Linked DNA regions of Caenorhabditis elegans. The protein of the gene in region 1 interacts with the protein of each later gene in a pairwise test. Each region holds a gene or a part of one and is shown on either strand. Other genes may lie near its edges.

What was found. Proteins that work in one complex are often made in the same cells at the same time.
Region 2: the proteins of gpch-1 (region 1) and rei-1 interact in a two-hybrid assay, tested with the Caenorhabditis elegans proteins (one large-scale study listed by BioGRID).
Region 3: the proteins of gpch-1 (region 1) and wdr-83 interact in a two-hybrid assay, tested with the Caenorhabditis elegans proteins (one large-scale study listed by BioGRID).

The regions. Positions count from the first base shown.
Region 1 is NC_003281.10:4,406,915-4,412,758, forward strand, and holds gpch-1 (G patch domain-containing protein 1 homolog), read left to right. Parts: upstream 1-1,636; 5' UTR 1,637-1,650; coding exon 1,651-1,708; intron 1,709-1,752; coding exon 1,753-2,220; intron 2,221-2,821; coding exon 2,822-3,353; intron 3,354-3,568; coding exon 3,569-4,096; intron 4,097-4,347; coding exon 4,348-5,200; 3' UTR 5,201-5,293; downstream 5,294-5,844. Other genes in the region: RNA-binding protein rnp-4, read left to right, coding at 82-189; putative peroxiredoxin prdx-3, read left to right, coding at 530-688, 735-1,166, 1,345-1,434.
Region 2 is NC_003281.10:4,096,375-4,099,727, reverse strand, and holds rei-1 (Guanine nucleotide exchange factor rei-1), read left to right. Parts: upstream 1-1,537; 5' UTR 1,538-1,599; coding exon 1,600-1,718; intron 1,719-1,876; coding exon 1,877-2,260; intron 2,261-2,312; coding exon 2,313-2,412; intron 2,413-2,468; coding exon 2,469-2,600; 3' UTR 2,601-2,825; downstream 2,826-3,353. Other genes in the region: C03C10.7 (uncharacterized protein), read right to left, coding at 2,826-2,982, 3,182-3,291, 3,341-3,353. UniProt on the Caenorhabditis elegans protein: Guanine nucleotide exchange factor for Rab GTPase Rab-11.1. Spatially and temporally regulates the distribution of Rab-11.1 to target membranes during embryogenesis. Plays a role in cytokinesis, probably by targeting rab-11.1 to the cleavage furrows.
Region 3 is NC_003280.10:5,029,423-5,033,672, reverse strand, and holds wdr-83 (WD repeat domain-containing protein 83), read left to right. Parts: upstream 1-1,960; 5' UTR 1,961-1,964; coding exon 1,965-2,040; exon of another isoform or gene 2,041-2,086; coding exon 2,087-2,311; intron 2,312-2,907; coding exon 2,908-3,131; intron 3,132-3,184; coding exon 3,185-3,315; intron 3,316-3,371; coding exon 3,372-3,476; intron 3,477-3,518; coding exon 3,519-3,675; 3' UTR 3,676-3,729; downstream 3,730-4,250. Other genes in the region: F33G12.3 (DUF1308 domain-containing protein), read left to right, coding at 1-19, 458-786, 996-1,192, 1,239-1,432, 1,477-1,557, 1,604-1,681; Mitogen-activated protein kinase kinase kinase nsy-1, read right to left, coding at 4,081-4,250.

The DNA.
Region 1 (5,844 bases):
TAGTTTTCAGCCCCAGAAGTGGGGGGCCGCGCCGGAGGTGCGGTCCACGGCTGGTATCAATATAAATTATTTATTTTCCAGGAAGCCAACGAAGCTATTGATCAGAGCAACGATACAGATCTTCTCGGCCAGAATGTCAAAGTCGATTGGTGCTTCGTCAAGGGAAAGAAGACTTCTGGAAAGCGCTGAAAACCACGTACTTAATTGTCCTCTCCAATCCACGTTTTATGTTTTTTTACACGTCACTGTTAAGTTTTTCCTTTTCTATTTATTTTTTGTCCTCTTTCCCAATTTACCATTCGAAATTTTAAATATCTATTTGGTCTCAACTCGCTCGCTCTTCTCAATTTTGCGATTTTTGTTATCTATGTGACACATGCAATAACAGTGAATAAAATGACCATTTTTCAATTATCTGCTGTTGCTATTTTCTTTTTATCGTTAACCAGTTTGGAACGATTTGATATCTTCAATTGTTTCGTAGATCAAATTCTGGAAAAAAAGATTTCTGAATATCTGAGTTTTGCAGATGTTTTCTTCTGCTGTTCGAGCTCTTTGCCGCACGGTTCCTACTGTTGCCACCCGCCAGTTGAGCACATCTCGTGCTCTTTTGTCACTTCGTCCACTTGGACCAAAAAATACTGTCCCAGCTTTCAAAGGAACTGCTGTCGTTGATGGAGACTTCAAGGTTAAAAATAACAAATATATATATTTTTTTCAAAAATTAATTCCAGGTGATTTCTGATCAAGACTACAAAGGAAAATGGCTCGTCATGTTCTTCTATCCACTTGACTTCACCTTTGTATGCCCAACTGAAATCATCGCATACGGAGATCGTGCAAACGAGTTCCGTTCTCTTGGAGCTGAAGTTGTCGCGTGCTCGTGTGATTCTCACTTCTCTCACTTGGCCTGGGTTAACACTCCACGCAAGGACGGAGGACTCGGTGATATGGACATCCCTTTGCTCGCTGATTTCAACAAGAAGATCGCCGACTCGTTCGGTGTGCTCGACAAGGAATCCGGACTCTCATACCGTGGACTTTTCCTCATTGATCCATCTGGAACTGTCCGTCACACTACTTGTAACGATCTTCCAGTTGGAAGATCTGTTGATGAGACTTTGAGAGTGCTCAAGGCATTCCAATTCTCTGATAAGCACGGAGAGGTGAATTTTGAAATTTACAAAAAATTTAATTTCTAGCAAAAAAAATGCAATGTTTTTTTTCCGAAACTTTGGCCCGCCATAAAAATATTTAAATTTTTGTTGAAAAGGAAATCGGTCGTTTCGGGCTAGTTTTAGTCCATTAAAACAAATTTCGACGAATAAAAAATTAATTTTTCAGGTTTGCCCAGCTGATTGGCATGAGGATTCTCCAACCATCAAGCCAGGAGTCGCTACCAGCAAGGAATACTTCAACAAGGTCAACAAGTGATCACACAGAAACAGAACAATTATTTTTATTCTTTGTATTTATCATATTGATGATTTAGTTTGTCGGTTTAAATAAATAGGTGTCATTCAGCTCGAGTTTTTTGAAATTAATTTTGGAAAATATACGGTTTCAGAAAAATCCATTAAAATATTGATTTTTGTTTCCTAAAAAGTTTTGGAAAAAAATGTGAATTTCATTTCAGATTTTTCTAAATAAATGAACAGGAAAAAATTAGCAGCATATGGTCAGGAATTCGAAGATGATGACGAAGAAGGTCTGCAATTTTACAGTTTTCAGGAAAAAAATAAATAATTTCAGGAAGCTCTGTATCAAAAAAGCCAACTCAAATCCACGAAGAGATAGCAACAGATGAAAAAGGAAAACGGAGATTCCATGGAGCCTTCACTGGAGGATTTTCAGCTGGTTATTGGAATACAGTTGGATCAAAGCAAGGATGGGTTCCTCAAGTGTTCTCATCATCTCGGAATGAACGTGGAGAACAAATAAAACAAAGAGCTGAAGATTTTATGGATGCAGAAGATCTTGGAGAATATGGAATAGGGAATCGATCGATAAAACAGACTGCGGCATTTGGTGAAGGAGCTGGACAGAAAAGGAAAATGGCTTGGGAACGGGATACGACAAGTATTTCAACGATAACTCAGATGTTTGAGGATGTTGTGAAGCCTGTTAGTAATTCGATAGGAGTACGGATGCTCCGATCAATGGGATGGAGAGAAGGACGAGGCATCGGATTGGCAAATGTTAAACAGAAACAGAAGAGAGGTTCGAGAGCATATCTAATTGAAGGAGGAGTTATCAAAAAAAGTTTAAATTAGTCTGAAATTCTTAAAATCCATAATGGAAAAAGGGAAACATCGCAAAAAAAGAAGAAAAATCTCGTTTGTAGGAGTGCGATTTTTCGTTCTTTGGCAATTTTTTCGTGTTTTCTTTGTGGTTTTTCAGGATGGATTTGAGGCGATTTTGAATTTTTTACAGCGGAGTCCTCACCGAAACTTTTCAAAAATGTTTTATGGCGGTATTTAACAAATTTCGTCAACTTTTCCGTGCCGGAATTTTTTTGGGTTGTTTTTTCTGTGTTTCAAAGTTGTTCGTCTAGCGTTTTTTCGTGGATTTAAGAACATTTAGAGATCAAATCTGGTCCAAATGTACCTAAATTCCCAAAAAAAAATTAGATAAATATCGATTCCCAGACGCTTTGGCAAAATTCGGTTTGTGTTTTCAATAAAAAAAATTAGTTTTGAAGATTCTCGTGCTAAAATTCGGTCTTTTTGGGCCATTTTGAGTCCAAGAAACCAAGATTTTTATCGATTAATCCTCCTTTAACCAAATAATCAATTCCTTCAAAAAAAATTAATTTTTCCAGGCGGCGAGTCGTCGGAAGCCCAATTCGACCGCGAGCAAGCTTCAAAGGTGGCTCCAGCGTACGAATTTTCGAATGAAGATGCTCTTGTCAAACAACTGACCCCATTAACTGGAACTCATGGAATAGGATATCAAGGTCTTCGTAAGACTACTGTACTTAATGAGTCATACGGTAGAACAACTTTGGCTTTGAAATCCGGAAAGAAAAATAGCAAAGGAATAAAAGGACAAGCATTCGGAGTTGGAGCATTTGAAGAAGAAGATGAAAGTGTTTATTCGAATTATGATCTCTCGCAATTTGATTTTTCATTGGATGTAGCTGGAGCATCAGAAGAGAGTAATTTGAAAACACAGAAATTGGTTACTGCATTTGAATTACAGCCAAAGAGGCTTAATCCAAGAAAATTCTATGCTCCTCCAAGAGTTCCGCCGAATTTTCGAGGCGATCATCGTCCGATTCCAATGGATATCTCGAAACTTCCACAAATGATGAAGAATGATGTAAAACATATGAATGCGGAGCAAAGAGCAAAGTATGATTTAAATTAACAATAATTCATATTTTTTCGCTTTTTTTTGTTTTCCGAAATTTGCTAAAGTTTGAGTTTACGGGTTTTTAAAACGTAAATCGATTCAGCTTTTTCCGAGAATTTTGACCTGAAAATTATTTGGAACATTTTTTTGGCCATTCTCATCATTAAATTTCGGTCAATTTTAGAATATTTTTGTTGAACTTTATTTATTTCAGATTCCTTGGTGAAGATCGCGTGAATGCACTTGAAATTGGAGGCAAAAGTTCCAAAAAACCGACAGAACGAAGAAGTCGATGGGATATCAAGGCAAATGAAGTCGAAAAACGTGATAATGAGCGTGGTGGTGGTGAAGCAGAAGAAGATCGGGATCGACGACAACGGAATCGAATTGAATTCCCTGATGAGCCTATGCGACAAGCTCGATTTAAAGAGTTTCTTCATTATATTCGACGTGGTCTACCGTACCCTCAGCCCACTGATCTGACTGTCTGGGAGTGGGAGTGGGAAAAGAAAGAATTCGAGTCAAAATTGACATCTGACGAACGGGGAATGCTTCCAGAAGTACAATCCAGGGCTCAGCCACTTGCAAAAACTGCCATAGCAGCGCCGATTCATGAAATGATGGCTTCGAAATTTGTGAAAGAAGCTGGCGGTGATTTGAAAGTTGGAACGAAGGATGAGGATAAATTAGCCGCTGTGAAAATGGAAATGTTTGGAGAAAAAACGAGGCAAAGCTTTGATTGGTATGTTTCTAAATTGAGAATCATCTAAAACGACCGAATTTCATAATGAGATTTCTCAAAAAACAATTTCGAAAAAAGGCAAAAAAATGTATGTGCTGCAACAAGATCAAGATGACGAATATTCGGATTTTACAATATTTGGCTCTTTTTTTAGAAATTTTCTGAGAATTCTTATTATGAAATTTTTTTGTTTAGGGCTAGTTTTAGCCATTTAGTCCCTTTGAAAAATGTAGAAATTTTTAAATTTTCAGGTATCCTGACAATCTTCTCGCTAAACGATTCAATGTTCCCCATCCATATCCTGGATCAGACACTGTCGGAGTTCCAGCTCTTCAGAAGACTGATTGGAAGCGGAAAGATCGATTAGCAGATATTGGTGGAGTCTCGGCAACGTTGGGACTTCCGAACACTGCAAATGAAATTGAAATGAGGGAGCGACTTCTGAAATCGAGAGCTCAGAGAGGAGCAGAAGAGAAAAAAAGAAATCAATCAGATGATGACGATGAGAAAGAATATGATGATAAGGATTCTGATGAAGAAGAGGAAAATGAAGCCGAGCCTAACAATCAGAAGGTAGACAAAGCTCCAAAATCGTTTTTTGATTTCATTTTTGGAGATGGAGACGGTGCAGACTCAGATGAGAGTAATAGTGAAGATGAAGAAGCTGAAGAGAAGGAACGGCAAGAGATTCTGAAAAAAAGAGAAGAGGATTTGAAAAGAAGAAGGGAAATAGTTGAGAAGAAAGAGGAGGAGAACAGAAAACGAGTGGAAAAAGAATTAAAAGAATTAGAAAATAGGGATTTGCTGAGAGTTTCAAAGCAACAGGAAGATGATGATATTCAGATTATTGATGAAACTTCTGCATCTTCATTTGGTCCAGCTCTTCCTCCATCTTCAAAACCAGTTCTTTCAAAAACGGAAGTACTGAAACTTTTAGAAAAGAATATGAAGAAAAAGAAAAAGGATAAGAAGGAGAAGGAAAAGAAGAAGAAATCGAAAAAATCAAAAAAGAGCAAGAAAGAAAAGAAGACAAAGAGGAAACATTCTTCGTCTAGTGCCGACGATTCCGGTGATAATTCCGATGGATGGGAGGAGAAGAAATAATCTGAATTAAACATTTTGTTAATTTTTTTTATTTATTTATTTATTATCATATATTACTATGGTTTCGACTTGTAAAAATGAAACATAAAATTTCTCAAAGTGATGTCTGAACTATCCTTCTCCTCCCGTGTGGCTATTTGTCCCCAGTTAAATTGTCTGCATCTCTCGTTCTCTATTTCTCTCGCTTTCTATTCTCTCAAGGATTGTGAGGTTTGGTTCCTGCGAACTCGTGCACTGAGGTCACATTTTTCGAGCAGAAATGAGTTTTCAATTTCAATTTTTCAAAGATTTTAGTTTTTCAGATGCTTTCTCTGTTAAAAATTAGTACAATTTGTTTTCCATTTTTTCAGTCTGCAAATATTAACCGGCACCTTTAGAAACATTTTTTGAATTGCATTTGAAAAACCTTTTTTAATTTGAAAAATTAGAAAAATTAATTAGAAAAAAAACCCAACAAATTTTAATGCTGAAAAACTACAATTTCTAGTTTTTTTGTAGTTTTCAGCAGTAAACGCATTGGTTTTTTACATGAAATACTATAAATGTGGGATAAATTGGTAAATTAATGTTTTATACATAAAACAATTAGCGAAAATGGTTAAAAATCAAGTTTATTGGCTAAAAACAAAGCTATCCGCGATAAA
Region 2 (3,353 bases), 310 kb from region 1:
CTTTATTTTTTGTTGTAATTTTCAATTCTTTTGATATTCTTGATGTAAAAATTATATTTTTTATCGAAATCCCGTCAAATATGCTTGGAAAAAACGAAATTTCAAGAAAATCATCATCTACCGTACTCATGGGTACTGTAGCTGAAAAGTTTCACTCGCGTCGAGACCCGGAAGCATCATTTTGCTTTGAAATTTGCGCGTTTTTCCGATTTTCGATTCAATTATTAGATGAATTGAAAACTATCAGCGAAATCGTTTTATCATTTGACAAAACCTGAAAATTTTCTAAAAATGTTTTTTGTCAGACTGAAGAAAAATTATTTTTAGATTAAAGGATTAAAGGATTAAAGGACGATCGGTTCTTCAAGTGCTATGCACTGCGGATCTGGGATTCAGGTACACTGCCTGGTGGTGATCCTCTGGGCTGTAATTTTAAGCCACGTCCTAGCCGGGGACTGTGGCCGATAATCCAGTCGTGGATTGCTCCACTTCCCAATAGACATTCTCTTATTTTAAAAATAGAAATGTTGCAATTAATCGGAATTTTGCAGTTGAGGGGTATCGCCCCAAAAAAATTTTAAAAAAATATGTTTCAAAAAAGTACTTCTTGAGGACTGAGGCGACTCAACTCTTCCCCCACCTTCCACCAATTTTGCTCATATAACAGTCCACAATTGTGTGCCCCTCAATATATTTCCCCTTCGGTATAATTGGCCCATTTGCCCTCCACAATCTATTCACACTGTCCATCCCGACCGTCCGTCTCTGTTTCTCTCTTCTCCGTCGTCCCCCACACTTTTCCTACCCCCGCTTGTCGTTTGCACGGCCTTCAAACCCAAAAAACCGATGAAAACCGTATCTGAAATAGTTCTACTCTCCGTTTCCTCGTTTTCTTTGTTCTAGAATGGTTTCAAGTTCGAAATTCTCAAAAAATTATGAGGTTCGAATATTACCCAGACGCAAAATTTTGAGATTTTTGCCCTGAAAATACGGTACCTGGCCGCGAAAAGGCAATTTCTGAGATTTACAAACGGGGGTGCGCCTTTAAAGGATACTGTAATTTAAAGCTTTCGTTGCTCTCTGATCAGATTTTAATTGATTTTTCATAGTTGATCTCACAATTTATTAAATCGAATAATTTTGAATTTTATTATCTTAATTATTAATAAAGTAATATTATTTAATAAGTAAATTTATTTTCAACCAAAAACTATGAAAAATCAATGAATACTGAAATTACAGTACTCTTTAAAGGCGCACACCCATTTGTTTTCAACAAAAATGTCATGTCGAGGGCCATTTTTGCAGCTGATTTTTGCTATTAACCCTGAACAACTAAAATTGAGAAAATTGTCCAAATTTCATTCATTTTAGCCATTTTTGTAAGTCGAATTGATAATTTCTGAAAAACTCCCGCCATTAATTTCAAATTACGATCTGCAAACACCATCACGTAAAAATGCACAGTTTTGCCTCACGTTAAAATTTGCAAATTTAATTTTAAAAAATTTATTTTCTCATCTTTTCTCCTCATATTCTCTTCATTTCTAGTAATTTTCGTTCGAACAATTCGATTTCAGAATCAATAAAACATTAAAAATGACGGAAGGGGACGATCAATTAATATCGATTCGCAAACAACTTGAAAATTTAAATAATGCAACAGATGACATCAACAGTTATGAGATGAAGTTGGAAACTGTCAAGAAACAGTTTTGGTGAGTTTTAATTCATTTTTTATTTTAAAATAATTGCTTAATCGCTACACGTCTAAAACTGGAAACCTTTTATTGCACTAGTCATTCTTAACCAATTAATTCGCAAAAAATCGTACCAAATCTGGTTTTGATGCTAAAATAATCTTATATATTTTCAGTGAAACCCAACTAATGTTCAACAAAGAAATGCTTGGAATCCCTAAAAAGTTGGCCAAACACATATCAAAATCCCGTCAATTTTTCGATTTGAAAAGCCGCGAATCGGAAATCAGAAGATGTGTTCAACAAGCGGCAGCTCAATTTGAACGACAAAAAACTTCAGTTGAAATGGCAAGAGAACAAGTGCAAATACTGCATAATTCATTGAATAACAATCAAGAATTGGATGCAGAGAAACAATATGTTGATGTGATTGAGCAACAGTTGGAATTGGTTAAAGAAGCTGAGGGAGAATGTTTAAAAGCTGAAAAGTGTCATGCATCACGTGTCAGGGATTTGTTACAGTTGGAAATGGCTTTAAGGAAATGTTTAGAGGAAAATGGGTGAGTTTCAGGCATCAGGCAATTTTCTGACAATATATTTTCCGAATTTCAGATCTGCCATCAAAAAATCCCGGCCCTATTACGAACGAAAAGAAGTTCTGACGCGAACAATGAATTCTCAACTTGAGTTAATGTCAATTTTGGAGCATGAAGTAAGAACTAATAAGAATAAAACTGTATATAGATTAAAATAATTTTTAATTTCCAGGTACAAGAACGAAAAGACAGCTACAGTGATTCGATGCGAGCTTTAGAGCAGATCAGCGATCAAATTCATCAGGAGCGTTCCTCGCAAAGCAGTTTGGCTCCTTCGAGTGATGCAGAATCCGACAGCTCTTGATACTCTGAGCCACACCCTTTCTTCTCAATTTTCCACGTGTAATATTAGATTTTTCACGAAGTTTCGAAATCTCGATCTCACTTGTACTCACGTTCCACACCCAATCAACTTCACCAAAAATGTATTTTTACGGGTTTCAATCCCCTTTCTCTTTGCTCCTCATTTTCTCTATGTATCTCTTTATTTTGTGTTCGTCTGGTGCTTAATAACAATTTTCTTGAAACATTAAAAATTGTGATAATGAGAAGACGATGAAGTGCCCACAAAAGCATCTACGTGTGCACACGCTGCACTTCTTGTCGGAGCACTGGATTTATCAAGCAATCGTGAAGCCAATGTGCATAGCTCACAAAGAGTGGATGCCCTTGTCGCTGGTGGCAATCTGAGGGTGAAATAGATTGTTGAAAAATTGTAATTTTTTGAAATTTTGAGACGTTAAAAAAAATCGAAATTTCGTTGACTTGCAACTTGCGCGTCATATATAGTGTCAAGTACGCATACACCGCGACGGTAGAATGCACAAAATTGTCAATTTCAAAATTTTCATGATTTTTCTTTTATTTAACAATTCAATTTCTCACCTGCTAACCGAAGCGGGTCTTCTTTCTTCTGGAATAATTGGAATTTCTTCATCAGAATCCCATTTAAAATACTGAAAATTGTTCACACGCCGGCCAAGCTTTGGAATGCTCTAAAAATATTTGTGTCATATTATTGTTTCACTTAATTGAAGAGATTACAGGCATTTCTATA
Region 3 (4,250 bases), on another chromosome or scaffold:
GAAAGAACCGAATGTTTGGGTTAGTATTATACAAATCCGAGTTTTTGCCATTTTTCACCTAAAATTTGGTGCCCGGTCTCGACACGACAGTTTTTCGTATAAAACAAACAGGTGTGCGCTTTCAAAGAGTACTGTAATTTTTAATAAAACGAATTTTCGTCACTGTGAAATTTTTATCGATTTGTAATAGTTTTTCTCACAATTTGTATTAAAATTGTGTATTTTAATTGTTTTGTTTCAGTTCCTGAATTAAAAACAATATTTTTTACGAGAAACTGAAAAGTTTGAAATTACAGTACTCTTTTAAAGGCGCATACGCTTTAGCATTTCTCAAATATTTATCGCGTCGAGACCAGACACCGTATTTTTTGAACAAAAATCGCAAAGAAATCCGCATTTGGGTTATTATTAAACTCTTTTCATATATTTTCAAATAAAATTTTAATTTTTCTTTCAGATAAAACTTGTGAATCGCCCCGCCAAAACCGTTCTCATCGAATATCGAGACGGAAAACGAAATGGCGACGTTATTGCACAAATAAAGCAACATCTTTTCGTATCACGCCGTTTCAATCGACCACAAATACGAATTTACTTCAGAAATGGAGTTCTAGCAGAGATGGCCCAAAAACTCATTCGTCATGGAATTGTTGTTATTGGAGAGCACGTCGATAAATCAGATCCTAGTTTACGTGGAAAATGGAACGAAGAATTAATTGAACGGCTTGGAGAAGAGGAAGATTCTGACTGGGATGAAGTTGATGAAGATGCTGCTTCTATTCCAACGTAAGTTTAAATAGGTTTTGATGAAATAAGAAGCAAAACATTTTGCCGCCAGCAGGGGTCGAACCTGCGACCTTGGGCTTATTAGACCCACGCTCTAACCGACTGAGCTATGGCGGCCATGTTTTCTGTCCCGTTGAAAGGCAAACACGTTCTTGCGTCTCCCCATCTCTCTCTCTCTCTTTTCCCGTACTACAATAACTCTATTGCAGGCTACCCTCCTCACAATCGCAGTCAGAGTCAACACTGCCACGCTTAAATCTTGATATTTCGGCTGTGATGTTGTTAGTTTCGAACATGTGTGAACCTGGTGGTGTGAATTATCAATTCAAAGAGGAAATGATCAATAAGCATGTGGAATGTGAACGATTGAAACCTGCGAAGGCTGAAGTGCTGGAAAAATTGAAAGGTTTTGGATTGCAATTTTTGTCAAAAATAATATTATCAATGTTCAGGACATCATCTGATTATGTGTGAGCTTGCCTATAGAAGAGTAGCAGAAATCGTAAAAAATGTCGGCGGGCCTACGGAGAAGAAGCGATTCGAAGAGCTAAGCAAGACGATTGAGCGTGTTCAGGATCAACCATCAGATGAAATTGGAAGAGTTGTCAAATTACGAAATATCAAAGGAATAACGTCAATTACAAAGGTTTTGAAAAAACTTTATTCAATATTTAATTCATATATTTTCAGAGAGTCTTCTCATGCGCGGAAGTTACCAAAACGACTACTGTAACTGCCAATCAAAAGTTTTTGACACATTCTAGGGCTAAGGTATTTGCTAGTTAGCTAGGTATCAACTAATTATATATAATTTCAGCACATATACTTCGATGTCATCGAAATTCCACCACGTCCTCTTACCGAACAGAAAGAAGCTACTGCCAAAGTTATCTGAAGAACATATATTTTAAATTATCTAGTTCTTGTTTTGAATTATGTTTGTATTATTTAGGAACAAGTATAAGTTGCCTTCAACATTTCAATTGTGATGATCTTTATTATTTTGACCTCGGTTCGAGTATTATACTGTATTGAAAGTGTCCCGATGAAATTGATGAATTACTCTCCTTTTTTATAATTCTTTTGGATCTATTTTCTGGTTTAGCAGAAGCCATTCATATCTTACAAGTCTCAATTTGTTTTTCTGAAATTATTAAAAGTTGTATTTATCCAGTAAAATGTCAAAATGCCCAACGGTTCGTGCAAGAGCAATTGATTGTAAGCAAGGTGCAGTACGTGCGGTTCGATATAATGGTAAATTTGAAACAATATATTTTAATTCAATAAAGTCCATTTTCAGTCGATGGAAATTACTGTGTAACATGTGGAAGTGACAAAACTGTCAAATTATGGAATCCATTGAAGAGCAGTCTTCTTAAAACATATTCTGGAACTGGAAATGAGGTTCTTGACGCCGCTTCATCATCAGACAATTCACAGATAGCTGCTGGTGGAGCCGATAGAGCCTGTACAGTATTTGATGTAGAAACTGGAAAACAATTGAGACGGTGGAGAACACATGGAGGTAGTTAAGTATTACCCTGACGCGATATCTTGTGATTTTTGCGCTAAAATACGATCCCAGGTCTCGAGGCGCCTTTCAAGATTACTGTAGTTTCAAAAATTTTTGTTGCGCAATTTTTAAAATCGATTTTTCATTGTTTTTTAAAAAGGTTTTTTTTAATTCAAAAACTAAAATAAACCAGAAACATATGAAATTTGAAAAAATCGTGAAAAAGTATGTGAAAAAACTAGAAAAGTACTAAAAAACTACAGTAATCTTCAAAGGCGCATATCCGTTTGCATTTTACAAAAACGTGTCGTGTCGAGACCGGGTACCGTATTTTTTGCCCAAACAATTAAAATAATTTCGTTTATGTTGATTAAAAAAATGAGAAAAACATATAATTTTCCGCTAGAAAAAAAAATTTCCAGCATTTTTATGATATTTTTTACGAAAAATCTGAAGTTTTTTTTTCAAAATGCTGGAAAATCGAAAAGTCGAAAAACGAACATGTTTGATTTTTCAATTTTTTTTGAAATTCAAAAAACCAAAAATTACCGTTTTTTTAATGTTCCAAAAATAAACTGCACGTAATATCTCACCTGCAATATTTTCAGCACAAGTGAATGCAGTGGCATTTAACGAAGAATCATCTGTGGTATTCTCCGGCTCAATGGACTGTACAATGCAGGCATTTGACTGCAGATCTCGAAGTGAAAAACCTATTCAAATATTCAATGAATCAACTGATGGAATTCTCTCAATTGATGTTAATGGCCATGAGATTGTTGCTGGAAGTGCTGATGGAAATTACAGAGTCTATAGTATTAGAGATGGAAATGTAATTGAAAAAAAAAAAGAATTTTCAAGTTATTAGAAATTTCTAATTTTCAGATGACAGTCGACTACATGGGAGATTCAGTAAACAGTGTCAGCTTTACCCCAGACAGTAATTGCCTGTTGGCTGGAGTAATGGGTGGAATTGTTCGGCTTATTGATAAATCTAGTGGAAAATTGCTAGCAAGGTACATATTTTTGAATATTGTATGAAAATTGGAGCTATAAATTTATAAATTTTCAGCTATAAAGGTCATCAAAACACGGAATACAAATTAGACTGCCGAGTTTTACAATCCATCGAGCACGTGGCAAGTGGCTCAGAAGACGGATTCGTTTATGTGTATAGGTAGGTAACAATATTAGTTTCAAAAGAAAGAATAAATTACAGTCTCCTCGATTCACACATCGTGTCGAAACTCGAACATCCTTCAAAAGTGATTCATTCTCTGACGGCTCATCCGAAAAAAGAACGACTCATGACTGCAGCAGGACAAATGATTTACTTATGGGTTGCCGAAGATGATGCGGAAGTGCTCGGAGAATAACGATCATGAAATATATATTTATTTATTTTTGGTTAATAAAACTTATTATTATGATAGTTATGATGATTCGGATGTGTGTGAGTTTTGTAGAATGATACATGAAACAATTGACATGAGATTAGAAATCTCTATAATGTAGTTGGATAGGAAAGACACTAGCAATTTGGTTTTTGTTTGTAATGAAAAGTTCTACACGCAAGCAAATTTTGGAGGGGTTTGATGATTTTCAGAGAACAAATTAAGAAACTGAAAACTTTGTACACGAAACAGAGGATTAGAGAGAGAGAGAGAGAGAGAGAGAGAGAAAAGATATCACAATAAAATGAGAGAAAGAGACAGAAAAACTAGAAGAGAGAAAAATGACCAGAGAGAGAGAGAGAGAGAGAACAGAGAAACTACAGAAAATCAGTTTCCAGATGAAGTTTCAGCAGCAGCGCCAGTGTACATATCATCGGCACTGCTTGAATGATAATCATCCAAAGAATCATCTCGACTTCGCATTGGAGACAGGAAGACTGGCTGACGGCGTTGACGTTCACGAACTTCACCAATTGCACGCATTATACGACAAGATG